Linked DNA regions of Oreochromis niloticus. The main gene of each other region encodes a partner of the protein of the gene in region 4 in a complex. Links are inferred from orthologs where the notes say so. Each region holds a gene or a part of one and is shown on either strand. Other genes may lie near its edges.

What was found.
Region 1: cacna1sb (region 4) and cacnb2a share a complex: the UniProt entries of both Homo sapiens proteins name them as parts of the calcium channel complex. The link is inferred for Oreochromis niloticus from reciprocal best matches to the Homo sapiens genes CACNA1S and CACNB2.
Region 2: cacna1sb (region 4) and voltage-dependent L-type calcium channel subunit beta-3 share a complex: the UniProt entries of both Homo sapiens proteins name them as parts of the calcium channel complex. The link is inferred for Oreochromis niloticus from reciprocal best matches to the Homo sapiens genes CACNA1S and CACNB3.
Region 3: cacna1sb (region 4) and cacnb1 share a complex: the UniProt entries of both Homo sapiens proteins name them as parts of the calcium channel complex. The link is inferred for Oreochromis niloticus from reciprocal best matches to the Homo sapiens genes CACNA1S and CACNB1.

What each region holds. Positions count from the first base shown.
Region 1 is NC_031974.2:16,013,210-16,021,287, reverse strand, and holds the start of cacnb2a (voltage-dependent L-type calcium channel subunit beta-2a), read right to left. Parts: upstream 3,323-8,078; 5' UTR 2,947-3,322; coding exon 2,863-2,946; intron 1,337-2,862; coding exon 1,244-1,336; intron 1-1,243. UniProt on the Homo sapiens protein: Beta subunit of voltage-dependent calcium channels which contributes to the function of the calcium channel by increasing peak calcium current. Plays a role in shifting voltage dependencies of activation and inactivation of the channel.
Region 2 is NC_031984.2:12,750,148-12,758,641, forward strand, and holds the start of voltage-dependent L-type calcium channel subunit beta-3, read left to right. Parts: upstream 1-5,151; 5' UTR 5,152-5,438; coding exon 5,439-5,519; intron 5,520-6,374; coding exon 6,375-6,467; intron 6,468-8,494. UniProt on the Homo sapiens protein: Regulatory subunit of the voltage-gated calcium channel that gives rise to L-type calcium currents. Increases CACNA1B peak calcium current and shifts the voltage dependencies of channel activation and inactivation.
Region 3 is NC_031969.2:27,484,841-27,492,582, forward strand, and holds the start of cacnb1 (voltage-dependent L-type calcium channel subunit beta-1), read left to right. Parts: upstream 1-4,147; 5' UTR 4,148-4,333; coding exon 4,334-4,423; intron 4,424-7,742. UniProt on the Homo sapiens protein: Regulatory subunit of L-type calcium channels. Regulates the activity of L-type calcium channels that contain CACNA1A as pore-forming subunit.
Region 4 is NC_031984.2:20,027,655-20,035,609, forward strand, and holds the start of cacna1sb (calcium channel, voltage-dependent, L type, alpha 1S subunit, b), read left to right. Parts: upstream 1-4,743; 5' UTR 4,744-5,014; coding exon 5,015-5,199; intron 5,200-6,571; coding exon 6,572-6,677; intron 6,678-7,955. Other genes in the region: proton-transporting V-type ATPase complex assembly regulator TMEM9, read left to right, coding at 443-535, 1,634-1,725, 1,861-1,969, 2,194-2,325, 2,430-2,573. UniProt on the Homo sapiens protein: Pore-forming, alpha-1S subunit of the voltage-gated calcium channel that gives rise to L-type calcium currents in skeletal muscle.

The DNA.
Region 1 (8,078 bases), on a different chromosome or scaffold from region 4:
AAATCCTAAATCCAGTTGTGTATGCTTAAATAATAACAGTGAAGACAACATCAAATGACAGGCTGATTAAAAGGCACTGAGATCATGAGTGTGAGTGGTGGTGTGAGTTTAGCTACTTAGAGAGTACACTCTCATATATCTGTAAGTATGACTGAGCATGAGGCAAAGAGAAATAAGGTCAGAACAAAATGCTGTCATGAAAACATAACTGAATAACAGTATTTACACTGTTATCTAAACAGAGGTGAAGTTACTGGAAGGTCTGCTATTTCTGGGGGCCTCTTGCAGCAAATATCTCAAAGAAGATATTTTTGCTCTGCATGAAAGAGACTCTCTGACTCCCAAAAAACATCATTCCTTTGCTCCGCACCATCTCTTTTCTGTCTCTCACTCAAATACCCTCTCATTTCCCTAACATGATGATGCAGACTGACAGTCATTCGCAGCACAGCCAACTGATGACTCTGACTGAAGGGGAACTCCTCATTTGGGGAGAAGACTGTGGGAATGGACATTAGCTCCCAAGGGTGGTGGGAAAATAAAAAATCAGGGAATTTCTCCCTGAGCAGCTTCAGTTGAGCTGCAGCGCCTCATTGAGAACTTCTCTGTGGCTGTGAGATGAAGTAGACAGCAGCCTAGGAGGTGCAATTTTGATCTGACCTCCTCCAGCTTCCCGTCGCTCTGCTGCTGCCGTGCCAAAGACGAGGCGATCTGTGCCTCCTCCAAAAAAGGCAGAAACATTTAAGCAGGAGTGTTCATCCTTAACTCAGCCCATTCTGTCCCTTTGCAGGTCTGCTCAACAAAGACCAGACTCGCTGAGTGTGTACCTCACAGGGTCTGCTTTATAACAGGCCACAGTGTCGCTCTGCACTCTGTGCACAGAAGATGCATGTCAGATGAGAGGCTTCCATTTAACATACTGTACCCAGCAGTGTTTACAGAGGGCTTTCATCGCAATGCACATCTTACTGCTGATGGATGATGATGACTGAGCCTGAGCCCTTACACCAGTTTGCATTTACTGTCAGGCATTTATACAAACACACAAGTGTTAGATTCCAACGGGAAGTAACTGCAGCCAGAAACTTGAATTATACTTCATGGTACTCTTTTATCGTGGTCAGATACATCTTTGTTGTACCTATTTTGGTCTAGGGCTTTAGGCACCAACAGATAGTTTAGAGATGACAAAAATAAGACACCGATAGGCGAGATCAACAAAAATTCAAATCACCACCCTTACCTGGCGAACAAGGCTGTTGGTTGTGGTGTCGGACGAGGTGCTTCCATCTGAGCCTTTAAAACGACCTTTTCTCCGAGCTCCTTTGCTTTGAGACTTCAGAGCCCCCCCAAAAAAAGACAGGATAAAACTGTTTATGAGGAATCTTAAAATCTTAAATCTTAAAACAATATACACAAGAGCATGCAAACTAATACATTTTCCCTGTAACAGATTTAAGTTCATGTGCAAAAATGCATTCAGCAGAAAATAATATGAGACTCATAATAAGTCATTAATGTTTACCAACAAATGCAACAACTGTGGTTAGATCAATTTCATTATCAATATGTTTTCTCTATGAAATGTCAGATAAAGCATTTGCCTCTCCAAGTACAGGGTGGTATCTCAAGAAGGTTGTGTCTGACAAAGATTATCAGTGATTATGAAAGCAAATAGAGCAATTTAAAGTTATCTGAGTGACCAGTTCTGCTTCCAACATTACAGCCTCCGTCTTCACTGATGAATTTCACTGCCTAGTTGAGTGGAGTTGGTGAGTCATTTCCAACATAAAATAATTTTTTATACCAAAAAGACTAACTCAAATATAAGGTCCTAATATTCTGCAATAAGACTTCAAACCAATGGCATTTAGCCAGTATTATAGCCAGTATCAGCCAAGCACTGATTTCCACTGTTTCTTACTTATTACAGATTGAGTGTTTTCACTTAAGGTGTAATGTTATGACGTGTTTCAGGAGATGAAGGTAATCACAGAGGTAGACGGCTTATTTTTCAAAAGTGACATCCTGGAAAAGTAATGCACGAAATGCAAGAAAATAATTTCAAATCTGCCTTTTTTTGTCCCCCTCAGTCCATACCCTCATACAAATACCCTAGGACCAAACAGAAATATCACTATAGGTGTTGAATAAATGCACTGTACTCCACAGAGCAATACAATACATTATCCAGTTTTCATTATTTTACCTGCAGGAATAGACAAAAGCCTTTATAAGATGTTTTAGACATTACAATGTTGTTGATACTGAAATTACTATGTTTTTCTTTGAGACTTTACACTAGCTTTAAACTTAAATGCCGCTTACCTGCCACTAAAACAGCCAAAACACCCATACATGCTAAGCACCTAGTACTTAGTTACTTTCGTTTTTACAGCAGTACTTCGAACAGAGTACTTTTTGCATTACACTCGTAAATATGTAATTACTACCACTGGCTTTACAATTGAAATACTTCCGGAAGTACGAGTTAATTTGACGAGCATCCAGGCTAGCTTACTTCAAAACGTCGTGATATTAAACTAATAAGACATGTCAAACTATTTTCAGTCCTTGAAAGTGAATATCCAAATATCAAACCTGACCCACAAATAAGTTAAAAAAAAAAAACCTAAACAAAACAAACAAAAAACAAGTTAATAAAAAATAAAGATTCGCCCTCGCGACTTACGAACCTCAATCAAAACTTTAATGAGGCCACCTGCGCTCACCAGCACGCGCAAAGGAAGCGGACAGGTTGAGAGCAGGTGAGCTGTTTGACGTCTCTCAGCGTGCAGTGCCAAGGTTTAAAGTGGCAGTTTAACAGGAACTGTCAGCTTTAATTAAAATGAATTAACTCACTTGTAACATGGGATGTTCCAGAGCGTCCATGTGTTTGTCCGGAGGTGTTCCTGCTCTGTTGGTTGGGCTAATGTTGACGACCATCACACCATTTGAGAAACGCGGATAGTCGGTAAAACCTCTCGGGTTGTACAGATGCTCCAACTCTGCCCGAGACAAAAGCGCATTTTTACACAGTAGTGTTGAAGAGTTTAATGCTGCTCTTCAAGTTTGAGTCGAGTTAAAGGAGGAGCTTGTGCGAAAAATGGCTGTAGTTTTTCGCGAGTTCAAGATGATAGTGATGATGTGAGTCGTCGGATATTATAGCCTTCAGCATCACAAAGCCCCCTCATCAGTTCGCTCCTTCCTACACTAGCTGAGAGAGCTCTCCTGCTCCGTGAGCCCTCAACCAACGCCAACACCTCTCTGCCTCCTCACAGCGCAAAGGGATGGAAATGAATAGCAGCATCCAAACACAAAGTCGGCATGAACACGACTGAAAAGCGTCAATTCAGAGTAACTTTGATGATCAGAACTGAACAAGTGAGAGAAATCAGGTCATAGCTACTGGGAGGTGTTTAAATCAACAAAATGATGTTTTTATTGTAATATAAACCTGATGTGGCCGCTCACAGGTATTGGCACCAAAGTAGAGGTGCCACAGGGTGGTGGAGGTGGTGGTGGTGGTGGGGAGGACAAAGAGAGGGAAAACAGAGGAAATAAGACTATTTTATCAGAAATGAATACAAAAACAAACAAACAAACAAAAAAACCCATACATGCAGCCCAAATACATATAGTAAAATATGATTAATGTCTCAGTACAAGTATTTAAAGTAAAAATTATTCATTTCTAATGGCTCACTTCAGAATCATATACATGATAGATACTTCAATCATCCTTAATTTATTAAAGATTATGATTATTAAAGATATTAATTTATTCAATTTAAATTATTGTATTGCAGCAGCACGATAAAGAGTAAAAATAGTACAGTCTAAAAGAAATAAACCACATTGTTAAAGTAAAAGTGCCACAGGTGCATAGTGAGGGTCTAATACTGTGAGAGTGCGAAGTTTTAACAGAAATTTTAACAGTGATAAAAAACAAAACAAAGAAAATAAAAATGAGGTTAATACAAAGAAGAGTAAAAAAATTGGATCACAAAGACTGATTCGTTATTATGTGCATTACTTGATTGTTGCAGCTGTAGTTAGATTAAATTACTTTTTTAGAGCTAGTTCCCTTTATCTAAATAATAAGCATAGCACCAGATGTAATGAGGAGAGGCAAATGTGACTGAAACAGAGGGCTCATGGGCTACCAAGCTGAGATTAAGTAGTCGTTAGCCAGTGAGCCTGTGGCTTCATACCACAGTCTTCCATTTTGAAGTACAACCAAGATTTTACTTTTTTTTTTTTCAATTCAATATGATCCAAAATGAGTGACTGAGACCATAAACTCATGAGGAAAGTGTTTCACAGGTCAAGAGCCGTTTTCCCACAGACTTATACTAAAGGACTGAATGTCTTTTTGCAACCACAACTATCGCCATCTGGTGGCCTTCACATAGAATGCAGGTTTAAGGCACTTTGCGTTGGCTTCATTTTTTCTGACCAAAAAGCTGTATTCATTTTTTCTTTCTATGCTAATAGCACTGGGTGAAAGGAGTATGGTGCCACCACATAGGCTGTATATAAAAAAATGGATGCAGCAAAAATCATGTCATATGTGGACAAGAGGGTGGAGTACTAGTTACTTAGAATCTTGATTAGCAGTTCATAGACTGACTGGTTTGGTTTAAATGCACACACATGCTAATTAATGCTAATAATAAACTAGTTGGACAATTGTTGCTACAACAGGCCTGTTTGTCAAATAATTACATTAAGAGGCTCCAACAACACAGCATAGTCCAGCTGACTCTCATTTATAGGAGGCAGTCAAAGCTGCCACATGCTTAACTCAGTATCCAGATGGATACTGGACATACCCCTGCACCAAGAAAATGTTAAATATACTTCTCTGAAATTTTTTTTTTCCATATTTGCTTCTCATGTAATAAAGAAATGGAGTTATCCAGTTAAACTGGGATATCCTAAAAACATATATATATCATCATGTTATCATTTGGTGCAGGAAACCTGAAAATTGGAGCAGTGAGCCAAAAGCTGACAGCTGAATAATTCGTATTGGCAGTTAAGTACAGGCAGCATAGCTGGCGGATGAAAAAAAAAAAAAAGGTGCTGCACCTGTTGACTATTTCATTATTGAATGAGCTCTTTTTTATAAATATGTCATTGTAAATACAATAAATTAATTAATTAAATTAAAAAATACCTCTCAGTTTCATATTTGATGACATACTTGTTCAGCCAGTAGTCTAAAATGCGAATATATTGTTTCTAAAATAAACTTGGCACTTGGCAGTAAGAAAATCTTTGTTTGGTCGATTATTTCTTTGTTGTAACAATGCTTCCTGGCAATAAATCTTATACTGTTGGAAAGCCTGTTTATTTCCCCTTCCACGATGCCACATTTGTAAGAAAAATGCATTTGTGGGTTGAGCAGCTGGGTTGAGTATGGAGGTTGCACCATGAAAAAAAAAAGCTTATTCTAATATTGAGTCTTGTTTGGTGTTGTTTATTGGATTGGATGATTAAAGTCTGAAGGAACGAGACATATTGGCCATTTAACAGTTCATCCAGTTAACAAACAGGGACAGTGCAATGTGAAAGAACCATACACAGCCACAACAGCTTGGCACCTCCTCCTCATGCTGGTCATCGGCTTGGTCGCACACCGGTATGGGATGGCGTCTGATTCTTCAGTGGGGTTGAGGTCAGGACTGCAGGCAGGCCATTCCTTCCTCTCCATTCCCAAATTTTGGTGATAGTCTCTGATAAATCCTGCTCTGTGGGGGTGAGTGTCATCTTGGAGGATAGAGTTCAGTCCCAGACTGTGGAGATATGGGATTCCATTTTATGGTATGTTCCAGATTTTCTGGGTAGAGAGCCGTCAGCCATATTGTACTGGAAACTTTGATTTCAAAGCTGTAGAAGACTATTTACAGTTCCTAAATCCTGACAGGGTGGTGTTGTCTTCTTGGGACACCCATGTAGTGGCCTGTCTCACAAATCCCCTCTTATGTGGAATATGCTCTTCTATTTGGAGATGGTACTGAGCGCATTCAAAAAAAATGCTGCAACTTGGTTTTGCAGAACACCAGCTTGAAGTTGCCCTGTGGCACAGGCCCTATCCACATTAGTCAACCGTGGCATGCTTGGAGCAGACACCAATCGACCACTGTAGCAGGGTCCATCCTCAAAGGTGCTGCTAATCAGACACCAGTCAGTCATGATTGGCAGCACATGGGGTACAAGAAGCTCAGAATAAGATATAGCAGATAGCAATCACACAAGAAGGTTTTTGGCATTTGTAGAGAAGATTTGGCAAGTTTCTCATGGGCGCAACCCACAAATGAATTCTCCTTACAAATGTCTGTGAAGGTTCTCAGTCATCCAGGTCATCGTAGTCAAAGGAGTTTGCAAAGAAAAGCGTCTGGACTTCTTTGAGTTGAAAGCAACTCAAAGAAGTCCAGACGCTTTTCTTTGCAAACTCCTTTGTCTCCTTACAAATGCGGCATCATTTAAGGGGAAATAAACAGGCTTTCAAACACTATGAGATTTATTACCAAGAAGCATTGTTACAATAAGGAAATAACTGACCAAACAAAGAATTCCATACTTTTTGGGCTAAGTTTATTTTGAGAAAAGAAAGCAACAAACTTTCAGATTACAAAATTTCATGCATACCAAAGGAAAATCACCAGGTTTGTATTAAATGTATCTTTCGTCTGTTTTCAGGCTTGAAATGAACTTTTATTTATCAAATGACCACAAAAACGAGGAAAAATAATAGAATCCTAGTAAGTAAGGTAATACTGACTTACACTAACAACACACACTGGACACTTTGAAAGGTACACCTTTCAGACTTACGTTACTTTGAATGTGGTATGGTTGTTGGTGCTAGACAGGCTGGTCTGAGTATTTCAGAAATGCTGATTTACTGGGATATTCCCACACAACCACCTCTAGGGATTACAAATAGTGATCTAACAAAGTGAAAATATCCAGTGAGCTGGAGTTCTCTGGGTGAAAAGGCCTTGTTGATGTCAGAGGTCACAGGAGAATGGCCAGACTGCTGTGTGCTGATAGTAAGGCGACATTAAATCAATCAAGCAAGGTATGCAGAGGAGGATCTCTGAATGACATCTCTGAAGAACCTTGAAGGAAATGGGGTGAAGCAACAAAAGAACACACCGGCTAAGAACATGCCACAATTCACATGGCCTCAGCAAAACTGGACAACAGAAGAATAGAAATAATTGCCTTACTGATGAGTCAAAATGATGTGCCATGTCACAAATCTCAGATCATCTAAAACTGGTTTATTGAACTTGATTATTAGTTCTCTGCACTCTATTGTCCTGCATGGTCACCAAATCTCAGTTCAGTGGAACACTTTTAAGATGCAGTGAAAGGGGAGATTTGCATCATGGATGTGTAGCCGATAAATCCAACCCAAAAAAACCTTGCATTATAACAGATGCAACGTCAGGATATTTTTAGTGACAGATGTAAAGATTAATTCATAATTTCTACTTTTTATTGTTTGTTGAATTGTAGAAAGCTAACTTTTCTTATCATTTCACCTGTATAAATGAGTCATTTAGTAAAACAAGGTAGTTTGTACCAGGTAAACTGAAAGAAAGGAACTGCATCTACATAATATCCTTCGGTATGAACTTTGCAATCTCGCACTCATGGTATAGTGTCTCCAGTAAAACCATGCTGCTGCTGAAGAATGCTATTCTCAAAAGACTTTAGAGAGCTCTGAAGTTGTTATTCATTATTGCCCTCTAGTGGTGTCATGTGCATTTGCATTTTAAAGGGGAAGTTATGTGGGAGCAATTTCTATAAACACTGATGCAAAAAAAGGAGATGGCCATGGTGGTGGATGCACTCTGAGTGTCTCACGTGTACCAAGACTTTCTGAAACAAAAAAATTATCTTGCTGAAAACTACAGATTCATATTTTAGACCAGTTATGTATACTGTTATATCAGGACACAATGAGGTCCACAGGAGGTGATGTTCAACAGTATTTGGACCAATTATCAGTTCATTAGTATCTTATTTTTGAGGTAAAGGTTCATTTTAGCAATGATTTC
Region 2 (8,494 bases), about 7.3 Mb from region 4:
GTAGTAAAGTAAATAGTTCTTGATGTGGAGCATATTGATTATTTTCTTTTTTTCCCCCCAATTGTACTTCAATGAATAATTTATACAAAATTGAAAAAAAGTTATATAAAAAGTTATATATTTGGATTAGGTTTAGAGTTAAAGTTAAGGTTAGGATTGTCACCTATTCCGACTTACATGTGGACCTCAGAGGATTGATGCCTTCTTTGGAAGAATACAACCTGCTAAATGCAGTACATAGATACATTCAAAACAATAGTAATAGTTAGTACTCTCACAGCTTTCTCTGTAAAAATCAAATGGAATCAGTTTTTAAACAATGTTTGTTCTGTATATAGTTTCCACTTGCTTCTGATTTAATTAAAAACAACCGAAATAATATAAGTTTACAGTAAAATCCAACAGCTCCTGTAAACTCTGTAATCACAGTCATTTCTTGGAGATGAACAGGGTTTGGTTTCTAAGCAGTGCCTCCTGATTTATCGTCAGTGCCTAAACTAAATCAGACAGGACACTACAGTGATGTTTACAAAGGCTGACAACTCATAAAACTGAGCGTTAAACAAACAGAAATTAGCAGGTTACAGTGGACAAGCTTAAATTAACACTGGTATTTAAGCTGTAAACTTGAACTTGAGTGTCCAGAACACAGATGCACTTTACGCCACGTCCCACAACCATCTTTTAAAGTTATGCCAGTAACTGCGATATAATAGACATAATCTAATACGTTACTGTCCTAAAGAGACAACACGTGAAATGAATTATGCTAAATAACAAAAAGAAATGAAGTCCAAATTTTTAAAAGACCACTACATGTTAGTTGGGTTTTTTGTGGTAAAACTGATTAGTTATAAAATCATCAGAGACTTTGTGGTACAACTTGAGTCCATGTCAGAATTTATTATGTTTAATATTGCACTTTAAATTTTTATCGCATGGAACATATTTCTGTCATTTTAACCAAATTAACACAAGCATATTGACACACTGAGTTGTTATGTCAGCATAACGAAAGCCGTAATCATCCTGGCCTCTTATAGCTCAATCTGGTCAATAAAAGCCATTCAAAGTTAGCCTGTAGTTTTTAAAGCGTTTAAATAATTCAAGTCAAAGCTTGGTGTTGTTACCACTATGTTATTGTTTAGATTTAGCTTTAGGATCTTTGGTTTTCTGAGTTTGAACAGCAAACTGCCAGCTGTCCGAGTTAAAAAGGACTGCTGTTCGGGAAAACTAAGATAAATATAATAAATAATTAATGAAATTATCTTGAATGTGGAATCTGGAATTACTAATGGAGCCCTGTTTCAATTCTTCAAACCTGGCCAACAAACCAGTAGTTTATTCCTAGTGTGATAAAATAGACAGCATATTGGTCAAACTGCCTGCTATTTATAATGTTAAGAGATAAACATCCACAGTTGTTAAGGAGGTAGCAACAGTGGAGGAGAAATCACAGGAGAGGCTCATGTGAACAAATAAAAAATCAAATCAAATAAAAGTAAAGAAAATAATCAGTCATTGATGATTTGACTATTTATTTAGTTTGCTGTAGCACATCTCATGGCAAGCTTTTGGTGCTTTTACCATGGGCACCATCACTGCACCAGAGCCATATTGATGGGAAAGGGGCAACTGGAGTCTTTGTAGGACAGGCTTTGGGTGAAAACTGAAGCAAATAGTGGGGGTGGGGGTGTGTGGTGATGTGATGTGATGATCTCTGTAGGTTTTGCTAAATGGATCACCTCTATTACTTTTACTGGGTAATTTTTGGAATAAGAAAAGTCTTATTCATATTTAGGTCCACATTTAACAACAGGAAGAGAAACTGGATCCAGCATGCAGCTAAAAAAAGCCATCAGGCAGACAAAACAGCTACAGGATGGTAACTAATTTGAATAAAATCTGACTATATCACAAATGAAAACACCACGGATGTGTCACTGTTTGGGTGTTTCTGACTTTACTGAATTTACAAAAAGGTTAAAAATGGCCTGTAACTCAACTAGCTATAGAGCTGTAATGGGCTGTAAAAAAAGAAAAGAAAAAAAAAGGCCAGTGCAGCCAAACAGGATGACTTTGTAATGCAGACAAGGCGAGTGTGCATGGTTTCTGTAGTTTTCACTGTATTTACTCTAGGGAGCGTGGTGGAGAATGAAAAGGAAGTCATCAAGAATGGTGTCGTGTTATGAAAGTGGTTGTTTATCCAAGCCGGAGGTTTGAATCACGATCACTTACAACACTTTCTTACTGACAAATTCATTTCCCATTTCCTGTTATACCACACCAAAGTAAGGTGGTTAAAGTAAGGAGTGTCTTGTAGTTACTGTAGAGACGTTTGTTTTGTTTTTGTTAAAACAGCAGACTGACCAAATGTGGAAAAACTGACAGATTTTGCTAAAACTAAACTTTTTTTTTTCTTAAGACAGGTCAGGCTATTCATCATCTACTGTGGTTCAGTTTTCAGAATGTACATGCCCTTGTAAGGGTAAAATTTCAGTTTGTTTTCGTTGGTTATTATGAAATTGTTTCACTGTAAGTTGCTGCCGCAGTTTGCTGTTGAGAGGTCTCACTGCTCCAGTTTCTTTTTACACTTTATCTATGAATGCATCGGGAGTAATTTTAGACTAAAGATTTAAAGGTGTAATGGCAAAAATCATACTTTGACACTCAGTCCAATGGAAATCAATTTGTTATTTCAACCTTCAATTTTATGTTCCACCCTTTCCCTTCTAAGATACCATAAAATATTGATTATCCTGGGATATCATAGCACTTAATTTCTCACTTACCCTTTCAACTGTATATTTTCACTTTTATTTCTAATTATGGTTGATAGGAAATGTGTAGTTTATGTGTAGCATTAGCTTTAGGCAGAGTGTTTTCTCCCCAGAGGGGAAACTCTGGAGGTGTCTTGTTCATGGCCTGTACATGTCAAAAGCGTAAAACTGTAAATCACTACCAAAGAACAAGTTGTGCAGATTTTTGTAGAATATGAAAATGGTGGAAAGTGATTCTCAAAATACTAAATTTTCTTATATACATGTTTCTCAATTATTTGAGTTGAACAAGAAATGTGCAGCTCAAAAAGCACTTCTGCATGGAAACCCTAAAGACTGCTCGACAAAACAGCAACATTAATAACAAATAACAATAAATAAGAGTTTTAATTGTTTTGGGGACAAAAGGGAGTGATGAGAGTGCTTGTTTTAACACACAACCCACAGTGCAACCAAACCCAGTGTCATCAGGTATTTCAGGTCTTTCAACATCAGACACCAGTACCCAGGCAACCTAGCCATGGGTGATCAGTCTCCAGCTTGTGTCTGGGTGGCTTAAGTCATCTGCAGGTCTCCCCTTTTGGTCCACTGCCATCTTGATGTCTTCTCAGGAGCACTAACCCTTTATTGACCGGCCCTTCAAATTTACCTGTAAAATGGGCCCGCCGGTGGGCCCATGGTCAATAAATTAATGATGTTCAGTCCCTTGATCCTGAGCAACTTCATGGGCTAGTTACTAGTACATTGAGGTACAATGGGTCTTCCATGCCTTGCTTCACCTGTAAGCTACTTGGCAAGGAGCCTCTTCCATCTGGTCTTCTCAGGGAATGGTCAACTCTAGCAGGACCACCAACTGCCTCAGTGAGTCTGATATTAGCACCATATCAGGCCTGAGGTTGGTCAGGGCTATGGTGTCTCCCCAGGTCAACTTTCTGCCAGTCCCAGGTTGCTGCAAGAAGACCCACTGCTGGGTCCATGTGCTGTCGTGACTTCTCTCTAGCACTGACAAAAGCAATAGAGCACTTTTGATTTGCATCGTGTACACAGACCTTGCCGTTGCACACCAACCATACTGCTGGAGCAAGTTTTTCCACCACCCCTGCTCTGATCTCTTACTTGCCCAACTGGCTGCTTCCCTTCCCCTTTTTCATATTGAGGTCTTGAGGTACTGCCAAGACCTGCCTGACCTACTGAAACTACAGCCCAGGTCTTTTGTCTGATCAGCAGAATACTATCCTATGACAAAAGTAACCCTCAGGTTTTGGGGGGTGGGGGGGTTGGCAGTTAGAAACCTCACACTGAACACATCTCAGCATTTGTAATGTGCACTGCATTGTTGCACACAGACAGGCCTACTCTTTGTACTACAGATAGATTGCCAGGATTTGTAACCTTATTAAATCAATCGAATAATGTGCAATTTCACCAATATGTCTTTTACTGTCATAACAAAGAGATATTATTATCTTAACTATCTAACCTAAAGTCACGCAGCCTCACTCTTGAGTGTGGTATAGAAGGGTTTAAAAGAAGAAAGCTGTAAAAGTGACCTTTATTAAAAAATTCTTCCTCAGATTAAATTTATGACAAAACTCTCATTACTAGACATTACTTGCACCACAGTGCTTCCTGGTGCAAATTGCAATGCAAAGTCTAGCCTCAGTTTTTACACTTTGCAAAGGTGTGTTGTGTTGTGTTTTGTTGTGTTTAGTTGTGCCTAGTGCCGACGTGGGACAGTTTCCAATTTCGTTGTACTATTGTACTAGATATGACTGTGCAATGACAATAAAGGGTTATCTTATCTTATCTAATCTTAGTCGATCATAGTGGAACATTTAGCAGGCCAGTCCTGGCTTGCACCCCTGCACTAATCTAAAGCTAGTGATTTCAGATGGATTAATTTTGAAACGAGCTTAACTAGGTTTCATATAATCTAAGTTCACACTACGTAATCTATTAGACTGCTGAGTATCAGTGATTAATAGCTCCTAAATGACCTATAATGTATTTATAAATTATTATCAGTCACATAAAGCACTATAAATGATGCCTCGTGAGGAAGTACCACTTTTACTGAGGCAAAGGTGATCAAAGAAAAACAAACCCGTTCAACTAAAATCCACCTCTCCTCTAAAATATGACTTCAAAGCTGCCCTCTTTGAAGGTTCCACATTTATTTGACTGCGGTTTCAACTATTTGAATCCTTCTTTGACAAGCAAATATTATGCACAGACGAGAAGGAACACGGCGTTTGTTTGAAGCCAGGCACTTCTAAAAAAAAAAGAAAGAAGCCAAATGTTGACTGTAAGCAGGTCTGAATTGATTTTTGTGTCATTTTAATCAACGCCGACACCCCCGGCAGAGTCGCACACTTAGTACGGACCTGTACGGTTCGCTCGTGCGCTGATGCTTCAGCGTTATCGGTTTATTTTAGCTTCAGTATTTTCCCCCACTCCCTTTACGTTTCTCCGTCACAGACTTTTTTGTTTTTATTCGGGAGTATGAGCTAGCCTTCCCGTCAGCTGAGTTTGGATATTAGTGTCCGTTTTCCCCCCTCCCGCTTGCCGCTTCTTCGCTCTCTTCACTGTATCTGATGCCTCTTGTTTCCTCCAGTAACCCATGTCTATGTGCATCCCGCCTCCCTGCGCTCTCAATATATGGTGCAAGTCAAAATGTCCAAATCGCCCGTAGACCCTCTGTCTGCCGTGGAAACCGGCTCCCAGTCGCACTATTTCCAGGTAAATCCGCTCACTTTACTCCCATTTCTCTCGCTTCTAACTCCATCTTCACCGACAAAAGAGGAAAATGGTTAATTAGTGTGTCAGATGCTACTTGTTGTTCAATCTGAGGCGTCGCGTTTTGGCAGCGAGCTACTTTTTTCCGTTTTCCCTTTTTTTCACCTCCGCCTTTTCTGAAACTGCAGATTGATGCTTGAGCCGGTGAACGGTCATGTATCCTTATATTATGGCTTTTAAACACAGATACACAGTTTAACACCTCCTTGGGTGTCGATGCATTTGCTGTTTTGATCTCAACTCGCAGATCAGGCCTTTGCATTGATGCTTTATTTATTTCAGTGCATTTTCCCCCTCCGTGCTACGCTTCATCCACTCCAGTGCAGGGAAACCAGCACACACCAGTAGCATTATGGGATTTTCGTGCAGGATTTTATTGGTGCAAATGTGCAGGCCGTGACTCTGGACTCACCTGTAGCCTGAATCTGAAAGGCTTTCTCCTCAGTTTGAGGGAGCTCTCTGCATTAATCAAACCACCATGTGAAGCTGTGAAAGGCAGCCCTGAAATATGTGTGATTCTGGCAGTTACAGCTTGCTTTGGTGCAAAGCAGCTATTTTGCACTTAATCACCATACATTTTGGCTTTTGCAGTCCTTAAAAGCCAGCAGTAGATTTATTTTTTGTATGAATAATCTAAATCTGCAAAATAATTAGCAACTAAAGCACTGAAATAAATATAGTCAGCCTTGCTGCCAGTATTACTGCTAGAGAGTTGTTGCATCCCGTTATCTATCGCCATCCATCTACCCATTCCCCTTTTTATCTCTTCACCTGTGTGCATCTCTTTCCTCCTCACAGCTGCCCAGGAAGTTGCCTAAGCGCAAGAGCCGCTTCAAACGCTCAGATGGCAGCACATCCTCCGACACTACGTCTAGCTTCATCAAACGACAGGTAAAAGCTCCTTTTGTGCCTGGATTGTCTCACTGCAGGCCCATTATTGCACACTGATTGTTAGTGGATGGAAAAAGCTGTAGGTTCTGTGGAAAATGTAGGTCATGGTGTGCTCTAAATGTTGGAATAAAGCTATAAGGTGCTTGAAGTTTGTCATCAGAGCCAATGTCTCCGCAGTGTCTGGTTGGCAGTAATGCAACTCTTGCATATTTCTTTTTTTAGGGTATAGGCTGTTGTTGCCGTTGGTGGAGGTGGGGATGGGGTTGTTAAAATACCTGCATGATTCTCTACTTATTTTGTTCATATCAGTGTGACAGTTTCTGCTCTGCATCTTCATCCACAGCGCTTTTTCCTCAGTTGCAGAGGTTGCTTTGCCCAGTAGAGGGTAGCAAAATGCTTGACAGAAAAAATAAGTTCAACCAAAATCCCAACACAGCTCAGTATTTTTTTTAATTAATGTTTTCAGGTCAGACATGTGTGGAAGACTCAGATGGAGATTTAGTGTTATTTAAGAAAGAAGGTATCTGTAATTGGAAACAAAAGGATTCTCCTTGTGATGTTGCTGCATAGCTATTTTGAATGGATTGTAGATATGGGCAAGGGGTGGGAAAAATATTTTCTCAGATGATTATATTGACTTTAAGTGAAAGGCCAAATATTGAACAGCTGAACTGTAACATGAATTATTTTAAACTGTTAATCTGGTAAATGGTGTTTCAGAAACCGAGAAATTTGTTCAAAAAAAAAAGAAAAAATGTACAAATCGTCTTAAATATGAAGTCATTGTAATGTATTGGGTTATTTAGCGTAACAGATCGTCGCCACTCAGCAAAACTATCAAATTTGGCAGATATGAGAAAACCAGATGTTTAGCTTGTATCTGCGATGTGCTGGAGTTAATCATAGAAAAGTGTTTTTGCAAAAAAAATGGTGAGCACCCTCTTTTGAAATCAAATTAAAAAGCTTCTTACAGTAAAGTTGAATATCGTTAAGGTGCTCTGTTGTTCGGTTTTGTGGAACGTCGAGGGTTGTAATCACATGGACCATGTGTTGGCTCTTCCCATGTATTTTCAAGTCAGTTGTGATGTGCAATTTTGGAATTTGGATTTAAGCTGCATTAACAGAAACAAAAAACCCAATTCCAAAAATGTTGGGATGCTTTCTAAAATGTAAATGAAACAGAATGCAATGATTTGCAAAACTCATAAAACCCACATTTATTTGCAATAAACGAAGTGTAACGAAACAATCAAATCAAATGTGTAAAACTGAGAAAATGTAGCATTTTGAGAAAAATACTAGCTTGAAATTGACGACAGCAAGACCTGTCAAAGTTGGGACAGGGCCATGTTTACCACTCAGTAGCATCCCCTCTTCTTTTAACAGTCCGTAAACATCTTGGAACGGAGAAGTCCAGTTGCTGGACCTTTGGGAGGGGAGTGTTGACCCATTTTTGTCTGATAGAGGATCCTAGCTGCTCAACCATCCTGGTTTATCTTTATTGTATTCTTTGGTTCATAATGTGCTAAATGCTTTAAGTTGGTGAAAGGTCTGGACTGCAGCTCAGCACCTGGATTCTTTTACTCGAAGCAATGCTGTTGTAAATCCATGTAGTATGTGGTGTAGCATTGTCTTGCTGAGAGTCTTAAAAATAAATAAATAAATAAATTCAAATTTTGATTTATTACAGCCAAACAGTTTTCCACTTTGTTTCAGTCCTTTTTAAGCTTTTTAAGCCATTTTTAGCTTTGAGAGAAGATGGTAGGGTTTCTGGATGGTGTTCATATATGGCTGCATCTCTGTATGATCACACTTTAACCTGTATTTGGGGATAGTATAGAGAACTGCGTTCAAACAGCGATTTCTGGAAGTGTTCAGGCCTGAATATCACAGGGTCTCAGTATTGATTTTCAGCGATGTCCCTTGCACACAGAGATTTCTCCAAAAATCTGTTTCTTTTGATATTATAGATGATGAGATACTCAAAGTCTTGGAAATTTTACATTGAAGAACATGTTTCTTTTTTT
Region 3 (7,742 bases), on a different chromosome or scaffold from region 4:
TCTGAAAATGCCACACTGAATAATGTGCAGGAATCAAATACCAAATGGACCCTCAGAGACTTGCACTTGCACTTGAATTGAATTTTTACAACCTTTTAAGGTGTTTCAGCTCCTTTTTTAGGGGATACTCTTTGACTATACAATCTCCATGAAGTATCACAGAAATGTGGAAGTTTGCATCAATAGATGTGAGTTAAAACTGCATGATGAACTTCAGCAAACAGCTAAAAAGGAGAAAAACCAGAGCAGTAAGACTTTCTGGTGAGTTTTGACGTCAGTCAAAGGTTCAGCAGAAAACAAACACATGCACTCTCAGTGGGGATAGGTGAAAAAAAAGGTTCACAGTTCTTATCTTTTATTATTCTGAGCTGATTCACAAAAGCCACTAAAGAGTTTTAGAGTAGTAGCACAGGGTGAACAAATAGATTAAAAATAAAGGCATCTTTCAGGATTTCAGATATTTGATTTCCAGTTAACTTAGCATATCTTCATCGTGGCTCCATCAAAAAAGTATTGGCAGAAGAAGTGAACATTCTTATTGTAAGACTTCATGAAGATGTAAAAATTCTAAAGGAAGACCAGTAGCTAATTTTTTTTAAATGGTCCATTCAGGAACTATAAAATAAGCCATAGTGCCTTTATAGCCACACTAACTGTCCTCTTAAAATGATGTCCCCAACAATGCACTGCTTAAACAACAAGTCCTGAAAAACAGATGCTTTATTTCTTTAGATTTGGCACAGAGACTATCAGACAGCATGAAAAAAAAACATTTTGAGATTAAACTTTTCTAAAGATCTTGAATATTATGAATATATTTTTTGGTCAGATTCAGTATACGAGACCTTTATTGTCAGTGTGGAAGCAACGTCACATGATGTATAGGAACAGAAGTGTTGGACCACACCGCTTAATCTTTCAATTAGAGCAAAGCAAAGTGGATATTTTTAGGGACCACAGCAACTCAGACACAAAGTGGGAGATCAAATAAAGTTAGTGGCTCCCTAACCCCTCTGGTGCATAGTGTGCAAAAGTGGCCAACCATCTGCTGACAGAGTTCCAAATGTCCTCTGTCTTTAACATCAGCAGAAAAACTGTGCACCATGTGCTTCATGGCATGGGTGTCCATGGCTAAGTAGCTTCTGGTGCACAGTTTTTGTCATAAACCTGTAAAATTGAACATAAGAATATTGCACATCAGGACCGTACATGAAGTACAGTTTAGTGGTGTCGCAGCTGTTGTGAAGAATTTGAGTTTCAATCTGTTTGTGGATGCTTTTATAGCACTAAAGCACCTGCCTGCTGCAAGGAACTTGAACAAATGGTGTCCAGCATGTGTCGTGTCTTTGTGAAGTTGCTCGGCACTCTTCAAGCAGCGAGTGATGCAGAGATGTTCCAGAGATGGCTGGCAACAATGTTTTGTGCTGTTTTCAAAACACACTGGAGTGCCTTTTTGTCAGCTTTGGTGCTGCTACCCTACCAGGCTGTCATGCAGCTTGTGATCGCAGTCTGTAAAATTTGGCAAGCAATTATGGGGGAAAGTTGGCTCTCTTTGACTTTTTTAATAAATAAAGGTGTCGTCATCCCAGGAAAGGTGCTCAGTGATGTGAACCCCCCAGAAACCAGAAGTGGAGGGCTCTTTTCAGGTCTCTGTATTGATGTATAGAGGTGTCTGTGGTTTTCTTTGTAGTCTTTGTTTGGTGGCATAATTGGTGTGTTCGTGTCCATGATTTCCTCAGTAAATGCATGCTAATAATTCTTTATTACTGAGGTGGGAGTACTATATAATAACGTTTTTATTTTGAATATATCAAAATACTAGCTGACAAGAGAGTAGCAGAAGCGGAATATTCCAGCATCCAAAGCACACTGCCAAAAAAAGAATTTCTAAAAGAGAAGAAACTAAGAACTGTGACCTGCTGCCTGAGTCGAGGTCAGCAGAACACTTTTGCAGCATTTTAAAGAGAAAGACAAACCAGCAAAGAGGGTTTTAAAAAATGTTTGAACAGTGGAACAGCAACAGTTCTTCATAGATCTGCACTGTCCTGCATGTCAAAGACAATTTAATCTGTCATCAAAAGCAAAGGCAGAACAGGATGCAAATTAATGAAAAAAATAAAAGATTTAAGTAATTAAAGTTGTACTGTTACACTGAGTTCCTACTGTGGAGCCTGCACTTATTACAGTAAATCTAGTTAAATCAAATCAAATCAAATCATGAGACTGCAAAAGTTTCCCCTCAACTCATGTGTCATGCTTCTGTTACTGGCTTCCATCTAATGTCTGTCCAACAGATACATTTAATATCGGGGCCTTAGGCTAAATAACGCCATCAAAAAGTCAAATCTGAGCAATTGATAAGTGGCAAAAACTTTGCTTTCACTTTCGGTCTAAAACAATGTGCCTTAATAAACCAGGTGCAAGCTACCTGCTCAGCATCAAATGACAAGTCGGGAAATAGCTAGCTGAAGAGCTGGTTAAGGCATGGATGTTTTTAAGTTAGAGGACAGCAAAGATAAAAGGTATTGTTTACTGGATGTGTACTCATGGGATGGTTTGCCTATGCATCTGCCCACAAGTGATGATTTGCATTTAGCTGTCCACTCATTTATGTCTTTTCTGTTGGTGTTACAACTCCAAGGGACAAAAAAATGATGTTTAGTTTGATGATCTTGAAAGCTTTAAGTTAATTATTTATAACTTTTTTTACTAGATACATTAAAACTGTGAGATGATAGTGATTCATTTTTTAAAATATGTCTGTCTTTATTTAGCTAGGTAATGCAAAATTTGGGCACATCAGACAGTCTTACCTGCTCCTGGATCAGCATTATATCCCAAAGTTTATTTACTTATTTATTTTTACCCAAGGCCACATCAACATCATTCTCCTCTTCTTCAAATCATAGAGACGTCAGGCATTGAGCCTCCCTGCTGCTACAACAAACTAGCTGTCAAATTGAACTATTCTCACCCCCCATTATAGCCCCGCGGGACCTTTGATTCCTGGATCCCGGTGCGGGGACCAGTGGCTCAGCTTGACAGCCTATCCACACCCACAGCATCCATCGCTGCGGCTCGCTTCTCTCCATCAATCCATAAATGAGGGTGGGGTCTGTTCAGTGGGGCGTGGATCTCGGCTTCCAGCTGGAGTCTGTTGAGTTGAGCGCACACAAGGAAAAGAATCGACGTCAAGACAGAAAGAGAAACACATAAAACCCGAGAGTAGTTAGAAGACGCTGCTTTCAAAATAAAAGCCTGCCTGCGCTAGGTCGACTGATTTTATAGCCATTAGTTTCTACTGTCTTTCACAAATATAAATTTAACAAAACTGCTACCATCTATTAGTTTTAGCCTAACACTCAACTAGTGAAACCCAGTGTTTTGCATTGTTTACACAGTGCAAACAATGAAAAACAATATTGTATATATAACTTGATGTTGATAGGTAAGTTGTTTTAAGTCTCGGGGAACAGTTCTTCATCTGTTTCAGGACTCATTGTTCTTTTTTCAGCTGAGTGTAATTCCTTATGGCCAGTGTTGGGGTTATTGCTCCAAAAATGTGACATATTACATGTTAATTACATACTCTAAAAAAAAAAAAGCCCAAGTAACACACTACACCGAACATGGCTTATGACTGGTTGTATGTTTGGGCCTATTGTCCTACTGCAGAGTAAACCCAGGACCAATCAGGTGCCTGGAGTCAAAAGTCCAGCAACACTTTGCATTACTGATGCCTTTTAGCATTTTGCTAACCCTGAAGGAACACAGGGGTCAAAGTTCAAAGGATCAGATGTCCCTGAAGAAACCCTTAGGTACCCTGCTGTATGTTCAGGCTGTTGGTGGGCTGTTTGCAAAAGTTGGTTCTGCCAGAGGTCTCTTACTGTGAAAAGGGAGTTCTGTCTCCCCACCACTGCCAAATGTATTTCTCTCTAATATTCTAGAATCTTTACCTTATTATACATAACAAACGCAGTTTTGAACATGTGCTATACGGAATAAACATCTAAAACTTTCAAACAGGTAAACATAATAATACTTGTAGTGATGCTTCTTACCTATTCAAAGAATTTTGTTTTGAAAGCAGGATAACCGGATGTATCTGTACGTCACACCCATAACTTGACTCTTGTGTAAAAGCCTGGTGCGACAGTGTGTAACGCTATAGGCTGGAAGGAGGCAGCTGTTGCCATTATATTATCAACCAGCTTAGACGCATCAGCGGCTTCATTCTCTCCGAAGGAAAAAAAAATAAAAGATGAGTCGATCGACACCATCGTAAACACACTAAACTAGAAACTGAAAATAGATTTTTAAAAAGTTGAATCAAATGGTACAGAAAAGTAGTATGTCCAGGACGCCTTCGACCTCAACCCAGGAGATCCAAATGGACATGTTCGACCATCACCCACACACACAGGTAAGACCAAGAAACGGGAAGAGGGTAAAGCGTAAATATTATGGAAGTATTATGTTAAAAATCCCATGTTGACTATTTTGAATTGATGCTCTATATGGTGCTGGTGAACATTAAAGCTGCTGCACTTCTGAAGATTAACAGGTTGTTTCCAATTAAGTCGCTTAATTTGCCTTCGGGGTGCCGAGATGCTCGTGTACGCTGCACTGATGAATTTAGTCAAATTAATGATTTTAAGAAGAAGTGAAATGGATGAAATATACTAGTTTTTCTTCACTACGGATTTTGATTTATAGCTACATCCTTGTTCTGTGTTTAATTTTTGCTGGCGTTAATAAGTCTGTGCTATGTAACCGTGATGTGACGCTTGTTTATATGCCGTCTGACCAGCGGGTTCCCAGGAAAACCACGCCTTTGTTTAATTGATGTCTAATTATCGAGTAACATGTTGAATTGACCAGCTTCCTTGGGGGGGGGGGATTTAATAATTTCCATAAATGAAAGAGCGACTTGAGTTTTTCATAGGTGGAGTTGGTTTATGTTGTTGACATTTTTTCCCATTTTGTAACCCCCCCCCCCCCCCCACACACACACACACACCCCACAAACAAATAAACAAACAAACAAACAAAAAACATCAAATAAAATAATAATAATAACTCATTTATAGCCTTTATCTCCCCATGGTGTCACCTGTTTTACAGCCACAAATACACAGTGGCTCTTAGGAAGTGACATGACGTTGTGGGCATGTTTAGACATAAATGGATGACCAAAAAAAGATGAGAATATCTAGAACAAACACACCCACGCTGGGCTCAGTCATTATCTCTCTGGAGAAGGGGAAAAAAACAGAACACCTCACCATCACAGACAACCAGCGCTTCAAACCCTGCCAAGTCCCGCTCTCTCCTCTTTACTCCCACTTCTCCCCCTCAGCTCTCCATCCACTTTGAATGTGCCACTATGCCCATCCTGCTCTCGCCTTCTCACCTCATGTGAGATGTCTGTTTTTAGAAATCAGATCTTTATCTGCTGAGAGGCTGTGGTGAGAAGCAGATGGGCACGGTGCTTGTGCCAGGCAGATTAGATGTAAAGTTCATGTTGACCTGCAGCGGGATATGCTGTTATATGCACTTGTGTTTCTGCTGTAGAGAGAGAAGAAGAAAAAAAAACACATTTCTAATATCCTGCAGGAAATGGCCAGAGTTCTCTCACCAGCCACTTCTTTAACACAGAAGAAGAAATGAACTGTGTGCCAAGAAATTATCCAGTTTCTGAACCTGAGGGCAGCTTAGATTAAAGATTGTGTGTGCTGACCGCTGTCACATTGCAGATCAGTTGGGCTCTCTGAGCACAATATTGTATAGAGGGTTCTGGTTAAAAGAATGAAATATGTTTATGATACCTTTCAGTGTGCCACCCTCCACCCTTTATACTCCCTGCCTTCCTGCTTTCACAAACAGCACCCTCCTTAATTATACACTTAATCTGGGAGGATGTTTACCAGCAGGAAGCTTCCCATCCCACTTCCTCTGGCATTTCTCTGCTCTTTAGTGACAGGAATCAGGTCCATCATGGCTCCAATCATAGAGATCCCTCTAAAAACATGCATGCTAATGCATGTATGCACCTGATATCACACATGCTGTGAGATGTGATCAAATTTACCAGCTTAATTGCTGACATATTTGGTGGCACAGGAGCTTCTCCAGCATAACAAACAATGGGATCGGGCTGTGAGGCTACTTTTGGGTTCAATATTAACTTTATTGTCCCCAATGAGAAATTGATTTGTGGCATGTCCACTCATCAAACAATGCATACATTGTATTATTAGAAAAAAAAGAAGCTGGACCGGTAAAATCTTACCGGTCTGGTCCTATTGAAAGACAGATTACCGTACCAAGGAATGATACAAAACATTAGAACGGATTCTATAAAACTTTATTTAAAAAAGGGGTCAACAACATTAAAAACATTAAAAACTCTGAATTTCCTTAAAAAGTACAGCTGTTTTTGTTGTAGCAGCAAAATGTGACTCAAAGGACAGAACATTACCAATAAAAACACATAACCATGACAGTATATTTGCACACAGGTCAAGAACCATGGATTTTGTCTTCCATCACTAGGAAAAGGAAGAGTGTTTAGCTCGTTTCAGTGGATATGCGGCTGCTGTTATAAGACAGATGTGAAACTGAGACTGTCCAACCAAAATATACATCTTACTACTGCCTGGATATCAAAGCACAGTCACCTCTTAATGTTAGATGATAACTCACACAAAATCAAGAGGATTTATTAAACTACCCATTATACATTTGAGTGGATTGGCGGTTAGGTATACTGGATGCATATGCTATTTGAAATGCTGTCTGCAATATAGTTCTTCATGACCCCGATTAAGGCCACAAGCTGACATGCTAAGGTATTAAAGTTGTTCCTCATCACACAATTATTTCTGCCGCTTCAGCCTCTTTAGGCGATGAGCCTTCTCCATGCACCTTGGAAGTAGATGAAGTTGTGCCAGAAATTTCCTTTGTGTTTTCACTATGTGGGATTTGCCAGTTGGACGCTCTAAGACTAACAGCCAAGCAAACGGTTGATGTGAGCAGCACCGAGATTAAATGTTATCAGCTGATGCACAGAGACTGCGGGCTGCAGAGATGTGGCAGAGCAGGAGCAAGACCCATGCATGGAACAGAGGGGGCATTAATGGAAATACCGATAAAGTCAGATAAACTGTGAAAGGGATGAGCTGATGTGAACGTGGGTTGCAAAGCGGCTTACAGAAGAACAGCAACTGTAAGCAGAGTAAAGCACCCTGAATAGCACATCCTATATGCCTTTTACTGATGTTAAGTTAAATATCCGAATACAAACCAACATCTGTTTGATATTTTTGCGTGACAAAATATTTTCATGGACGCACACACACATCTTCAGAGAAGTCATGATTCTTGGGTTCTTTCAGTCAGTGTAGGTGGACAGATTTGCCAGCAGTGATGTCATCCTCTATTTTTAAATCTGAGCAGCACAAAGTACAGCTGCCCATCCACATCATTGACAATATATTGTATCAACACTTCATATTTCATTTCAATATTAAAACCCACTACCCATGTTAGCCGAACATTGGAACACAGTAATTGTTGTGGGTTCATCAGAGGTTGTCTTTTTTTCTGTGGAACATCCTGTGGTGTATTCATCCTATCCCATCAAAAATACTATATCAAGCATACCACAGAAGGCTCTGTAGATAATTTTTTGCACTGCTGGAGGCTTAAGATTGATTGAAATGGATTCCTGAGCTGGATTT
Region 4 (7,955 bases):
TGTGGGCGGGGGTGGATAAAAATGTTGTGCAGTCCCACATAAAGAGGGACAGTAAGTGATTATAATGTAACCTGCTTGATAAATATGAATTCTTGATTATTATTTTTACTTCTTATTTTGTCCAGCAGGTGGCGCTGTCTCTGCATGTTTGGTGTCGGATTGTTTTCTTCATGTGTGACGACAGTCCGGAATAAGGAAGGACAAAATTCATTTGTCGATCTTTGCTCTAAACAAAGTGAGAGCACACTTTCAACCTGAATGCAAAGCAGAAACAGACGTTTTCCTCACTCTCACAGCGTAAGTTACCGCGTTGCTAGCTTTGTTTTTACGACATTTCGTGTCGTGGATTTCCTGCCTTGCAGTGCTAGCTAACTGCTATATTTTGACAGAGCCTTGCTGGTGATCCTTCAGTCGTCGTGCCAGGTGTTTTGCCTTTGGGGAAATGTCGTGTGGTTGGGGAAGATCCTGGATGTTTGCTGCAGCCGCAGTGGTGACCGTGTTTCTGCTGGATGTTGTCGTTTTTGCTCGAGCTAAGGTAAAAGACCTGCTGGTACACAGAGGATCTGTGTTTGTGGATTAAATCTCATCAAGTATTGCTTTGTTTATGGGAAGATGTTCAGTAAACTGTGCTCAGTTTTATTCAGTGAAATATAAAGATTGTATAGTTAAATAACGAAATGTAAAATAATAGTTCAAGGGCGATATTGCCAGCACAATTATGCAATTACATCTACTTAAAGAATACCTGTTTATGTTAGTCTTACATTAGTTTATCTAAATAATGATTATGTAAATACCCCTGAACTACTGTCAGGACACTCGTGGATTTCTTAGCCAAATTGGGGATTGTAGTCTTAAAGAACTAGAAGTAGGAATACACTGCGAGGTTGCAGACTAAGACAAACTCCAGTTCTGCAGAAGAGACTCCTTCAAAGCAGACTGAAGTATGCCAAGGTCAACCTGGAGAATGAGTGTGCATAGAAAGTGAGTCCTTTAGTCAGATGAGACAAAAGGGAAAAGGTGTACAACTCACTGGGAATCTCATTAAGGTAGAAGGTATCATAAAAGATGGATATGTGAAGTGTTTGAAAGAAAACGTCAAGCAGTCAGCAGCAAAACTGGGTCTGGGTTTTGCTTTATTTTCCAACACGATAATGACCCAAAACATACATCACTCCTGTGAAGAACTGCCTCCAAAAGACCATCGAATTTGGAGGCGTTTGAGAAATTGTCGTGGGATCACTCAGGAGGTGTGAGTGAGACTGGTTGGAAATTGCAAATGTATAGTATCGTAGGCTAATAGTTTTGGCTCTGGTAGTTTTTGGCTAATGTGAAATAATTTTGTTTCTGTGCCCAAATTAAAATTATGTAAGCATCCAAAAAGAAAAGCTGTGTTTTAAAACTTCTTGCACTGTTAAATACTCCAAAAGATAAAACTTCCATAGAGGATCTCATAATTTAGTGCTCATCTGTGTGTTTGTGCCATTTGACTTAGAATAACTGGAGTATATGTCAGAGTGTTTGTTTGTTTAACTGCTTGTGTTAATAATAGAGAGACGTCTCAAGTAGTGCTGTAGGGGAAAGATGGGCTGAATTTGGGGCCACTTTCACAAAAGTTCCTTAATTCTTGCAGAGCTTTGAGGATGTCCGCTGCAAATGCATCTGCCCGCCCTACAGAAACATTACCGGTCACATCTATAACAGAAATTTCTCCCAGAAAGATTGGTAAGAAAAATATTTTATTTAGACTTTTATGGATTTTTAAAGAAAAGGCGTTACTCTTTCACTGCGCTGCTGTTTTTAGGGGTTTTCTTTCTCTTAGCTCAGTAGAAATGACAAACGTTTTAATGTTTTTCACAGCAACTGCCTGCATGTAGTGGAGCCCATGCCTGTTCCTGGCCATGATGTGGAAGCCTACTGTCTGCTTTGTGAGTGCAAGTATGAAGAACGAAGCAGCAACACAATTAAGGTACAACTGACTTTCCTTCGGATATGACGACATATCTTCCTCAGCTTTTATTCCCAAGCAAAGCGGGTCATTGTGATTGTTTGTCATATAAGATGAGTCGTTGAAAATATTGCAAAGCCTTTCTAGTTTATTGTTTTGTTTTGGGGTTTTTTAAAAGAAAAGAATTTATAGTTTGCAAAGGTTGTATGTTGGATTCAGTGAGTTACTCTTGCTAAATATGACAGGTGACCATCATCATTTACCTGTCGGTTGTGGGCGCCCTGCTGCTCTACATGCTCTTCCTGCTACTGGTTGATCCTCTTATCCGCAAGCATGACCCATACACCCAGCCGCTGCACAATGAGGAAGACTCTGAGGTAACCATTCAAAAAAACAGCATCCAAGCACACTCCAATGTATTTATTTGATTTCTGTGGAGTTTGAAGTTCTTGATTTCAAACCATCTCTGGTTTGTGTTCAGGAGATGCGTCCGCAGCCAGAGAGCAGCAGCCAGGCCAGAGGAAACACGGTGCTGGAGCGGGTTGAGGGAGCACAGCAGCGCTGGAAAAAGCAGGTCCAGGAGCAGCGCAAAACAGTCTTTGACCGCCACAAGTTGTTAAGTTAAACCTTAAGGCTGACCTCAACACCAAGTTTAGAGTACGTAACCTTCCTGGGCCGTCTGATATTACACCAGTGGCACTATCACAAAACCTCTTTGTCATTGCTGTGCACCGCATCTGCCGAATTAATATTTAAACATCACACATCTAACACGACAATGTTTAAACTTGGTTTATTTACTAGATGTAAAAACTTGAGATGGGCAAAGCTGCAGTTTAAAGAAAACTGATGCTTGAAGCACTCCTGATGACCTAATGTCAAATCTTTTCAGCAAATTGGACATCAGTGCAGCTTTGAATGTCTTAATAAAATAATAACTTTTCCCATTTTGCACTGGCTGTCAAAAGCATTTCAGCTTATTGTGTGTTAATATTTATAATTTTTTTCCTTCAAGCATAATTTATGATGTGATCTCAGATAGAATAAGCTAAGTTAATTAGGACTACTCTGTCTATACAGTCTCAATGCTGTTGCTATTGTTTTGGCACTAATTATTTATTGGTATTTAAATCTGGATGAATTTAATGTATGATTGTTGATTTTGGACTTTGTATATTCACATTTGAGCAGCGCCCCACTCTGTGCCTTTCCTGTCTCTCTCTTTGTGTGGGAGATCGTGTTTCTCCAAACTCTACAGCTTTCTAAAAATAACAGACGGGAAGGTCAACTAAGAAATTTCACCCATTGTTAACTAGTGCTTGCATTTGTACTCATTTTATTTTTAAATTTTCTGACTGAACCCAGCAGCACATCTGTGTGTTTTTGTTTTTTTCTGCAGCACAATGTGACGAAACACTCTTTTCATGCAAAGAGAGAAAAAGAAAAGGAGGCATTTAGCAGAGCTTTAAAAGGACTCTCAGAAAAATCACAGGAGAATGCCCTAAACCACTAAAGCTGATGATAATGTGGTTTAGTGTGGCAGAATCCAGATGCTTCGTGGCTTTGAAAGGGCCTTGTGTGCATCATTATCTGTCAGTGAATTCCTGCTCGCATCCTATTACTGAAGCTCCCAGTTGGGAAATTATTAGTACAGCAAAAACAGGCACACTGGCTTGCATTACTGTACCTCATACACCGTATGAACTACTGAAGTTTATTGGTTTCTAATTGATTTGTTTTTTTGTTTTGTTTTTTGATTAGTTGATTTGTAATTATAGTTTAATATCCCTGCTGTCAATGTTTTATATGCATCTCTGGCCTAAGTGTGCTATAGAACCATATGTTTAGCTTGACGTGAAATAATAAAAGGAAATTCCTCAAAAAAAAAGGTTTTGGAATTTTTTTTTCTCCTTCAATTACTTTTCTCCTTTCAGATTTGCTGTTCCTGTTAATGGCGCTAGAGGGCGACAAAGTACACAGTAAGTGCGCGTTCTTCTTGCACTGGTCTGTGGTGCTTGAAGATTGAAGTCTTACATGTTGAGTGGTGTTCAGCTGCTGGGAAAACAGTCACCTGTGGCATGTTTAAGATCATGTTGCCAGTTTGAGAAGGTGTTTTAAAATGTGTAACTACAAACGTCCTGGTTTGGGAATTACACGTTTTAAAACAGCGCCGCTTCTACCGACTGTTTTAAGGGCTGGTGATAGTCGGTTGGTTGACTTTCATTTAAATTGTTTGGTTATGAACAACATTAACACTAAATCATTTGGTCACAGTGAATGTTACAGAGTATTGAGTCCATCATTCAGTGTTGAATATTATTCTGATGAAGTTTTGCAGTTTTCTTTTTAGCTATATCACAAACAGCAAACCCTGATTTAGCATTTACACGCACCACACAATCAATGAACGGTCTGTAAGGCACCATAATGGGCTGTATGGAAACGTGAAGATTTTATTGTTTAATCTGAGGCGCTTACAGCGGTTAGGGTGTACTTACGGATACCTATTGTTCATTATTCCTTTAAATACCAGCCTTCAGTTATTATTTAGAAATGCATAGAGCTGCATTATAGTGTTTTTTTTTTTTTAATGATTACATGTCTCTGTACTTCTTATGAATCCTAAATAAGAGGTTGACAGTAAAGTAAACCACACATATACAGACACATACACAAACAAAATCACACAAAGAGACACAGTCCCCCCCCCTCACTCTACCCTTATAATCATCCCCAAGCATGGCCTGCTGGTGGTTCATAATCTAAATTTAAACTATACCAAGGCCAACTGCTCCTCCAGTCACTCTGGGCTCCTGCTATTTTTCCTGGACGTGGTGGGCTTATTTTGTCAGAGGCCCTCAGCCAGGCAGAGAGGCCTGTGGCTCTGCCCGGGTGAGACCGACAAAGGAGCGAGGAGGAGGAGAAGGAGAAGAAAGAGGGTGCCAGGGGAGCCTGAGGAGGATCTGCTTTCACAAAGGGGAGACACACTGGACCTGAGTTTGGGATTTTACAATAAACATTAACTTTCACAGGAATTTGGAGCTTGTCTAAGGTGAAGGCATCAAGATGGCGTCGAACACAGAAGCGGCCAAGCCGATCATCATGAATGAAGAGGAGCTGAAGAGGAAGCAGAGGGAGAAGCTTAAGAAACTACAGGCCACTGGAGGAAACCCTCGACCCGCGAGATCTCTCTTCCTGTTCAACCTCAAAAATCCCTTCCGCAAAGCCTGCATCAACATAGTGGAGTGGAAGTATCCTTTAGATCTTTCAGTCACACACACCTCAGACAACTGTGTGTATTTTAGAAGAAATTTCAGTTTAAATATTTCTTTGAAATTCAAGGATATCAAGGCATTATACATGGCATTATACAGTCAGCGCAGCATGGAGCCCCGGTTTAAAAATACTGACAGCAGGGCAGTGAATTAATAGCCTTGTTCACCTGTGGTCAGCATGCTCAAGCCAGGTCTCTTCCAAATGTGTGATGAGATGATCCCTGAAGTGTTAAGACTTTTGTAATGTTTCTGATCTGTATCAAAGTCAAGTTTGCAGCCTGTGGAGTTTCACCTGCTGTTAACCTGAGATCACCTGACAAAAGCATCAGGCAAAAAAACAATTAACAAGGTAGTCTTATTCAACTCGCTCCTTATTTTTTTTAAATGTCCAAATAGTGACTTCAGCGTCCAAGTAGGAGAAGATGAAAGAGCACAACGCGGGCTTTTGATAGCTCTTGTGGCCCCTGTAGGCAATTTTCTGCTTTTAGCCTCATGGTCATTCCTGGATCCAGACTGGAATGAGTTGATCATACCAATCCAGTGATAGGAACCTCTTGTTCACAGCGTTTAAATGCAGATACACAGACTTTGAGTTTAAGAGTGACCACATGTTAAAACGTGATGATGTGTAAAGATCTGTTCTATTTGACATTTCGTTCTGGTATGTTGGACCACGTCATAAGTCATTCCACCGCCACAGTTTAATCACATTGGTATGTGGTTTGGTAACACAGGGCTTAGGTGCTGTATAGAGAGCCAAATTATGGAAAATTACTAAAAAGTCTGAAGACCCAAAAAAAAAACTGTCCTCGTACACGGATCTCAAAATTTAAAGAGCCACTTTTTTCTTTATTTCTTTCCTGGTTAACAGTCTGTGTTCAAATGGTTTGGTCATATTCTTGGGCTCTGCAGCTGTCCCATGGCATCACACTGAGACATCATGCTGACCTGGCAGGGGAATTCTCACAGAGAGCCCCCTATGGGTGAGAATGAAGCAGCACAGCAGGCAAGATTACATTAAAGTGGAACACTTTGCTGGCTACCCAGGGGGGCTGCTTCAGGGATGATGTTTCAGGCAGCATTTAAAGGCACTAGTCAGTGCCTACAGAGCTGCTGCAGAGCTGGATTTGTTACACTGAAACACAAACGTAAAATAACTTAGTCAGATAAATAAACTGACCGTTTTATTCTTGTGAAAGATTAAGTCATCCTCCCACTCTCACCCATTAACATCGTAACATACTAAACATAAGACAATAGACCTTTGTGGATATTTTGGGGGGGCAAACTCTGATTTTTGTTGCTGTTTGTTGTTGTCGTTGTCACGATCCTGAGCATCCCCTTCCAGAACCTTTGAGATCATCATCTTATTGACCATTTTTGCAAACTGTGTAGCTTTGGCTGTGTTCCTGCCCATGCCTGAAGACGACACCAACAACACCAACTTAAATTTGGTAAATAAACATTGAGCCTTTTTTTTTTGTTGCATGTCACATGACTGTATGAGAGGCCACTGTGGTGAATGATGACTATATCGATATTTCATTTTCATAATATTCATGATACATAAAAGAATTGAAACACTAAATTAATCTCGTGTTTTGGGGCTCATGAAGGCTCAGTTTTACCATCACTAGTAGATGACTGTGCAGCTCTGATCAGCAAGTGAGTGTAGTAATATTAATTTACTACAGCTTTGAATCAGTGACAAGCTGTGGGATGCCAAACGCCATTTGAATGTGTCCAGAAACAACTCGGTTCTTTATTTGGAGCCCCATCTGTGTCTGCAGAGGAACGAGTCATCGAGTGTCTCGTTCTCAAGTAGTGTAAAAAAGCTGGTGGCAGGTGGACGATGCTGATGTATGTCCAGAAAGATATTATGTTTCAGCTTCATAGGTGTGTGTTTTAAAGCTGTGAAACTGTTGGTAGTGTATTACAGGTCACAGACTATAAAGATAAACAAGATGCACATGTGAGCAAAACATATATCTGATCATGCACCGTGCATATATTTGGCCAGTGCTTATTGGATGTGTCCTATTGACACCAATGTTATGATAAATAGATCACTTTCTCTTAGAGGTTTGGCATTTAGCACAAATGTCAGCCATCGGTTACTTTCCTACATTAAGTCAATAATACTCCACATATATCTTTGGGTTAAAGTTCATGTCAGTCTTTGTGATTTATAGCCATTTTACTTTTATTAGGAACCCAAATCTGAGCTGATCTCTTCATTGGCCCTCTTCCTAAATCCTCCTTAGTTCTCACGGTGCCATTCCTCAGGTGAAAATGCAAGAAGAGATGGACCAACCCCCTCTTTCACTGTTAGAAGTAGGTCAGCCTGAGTACCGTCACTCCACTGATGCAGGTGATACAGGAGAATCCGCCAATGTTGCCTCGTGTAACCACAGCCACGTATTCCAATAATATGATAGCTTGTAATGTTGATGCGCAGTAGCCTAGCAGGGCAGCTTTCCTTGGTGAATTCGTTTTACTCGGGGTAACACTGAGTAAAAGCCTATAAATGTGTGTACACGCGTTAATGGATGCAGGGTCAGTGATTAGGACCAGTGTTTGCTGGTTCAGCTAGAGATTATTGAGCTGATTTAGGGAAAGGGAAATAAACTGCATGTCAGTTACAGTACATACCTCAAATGAATTCTCTGTATATAGTAACCATTGTCCTTAATGTAAATATGTAAGAAAAATTGTGTATGTTTCTGTTCTGT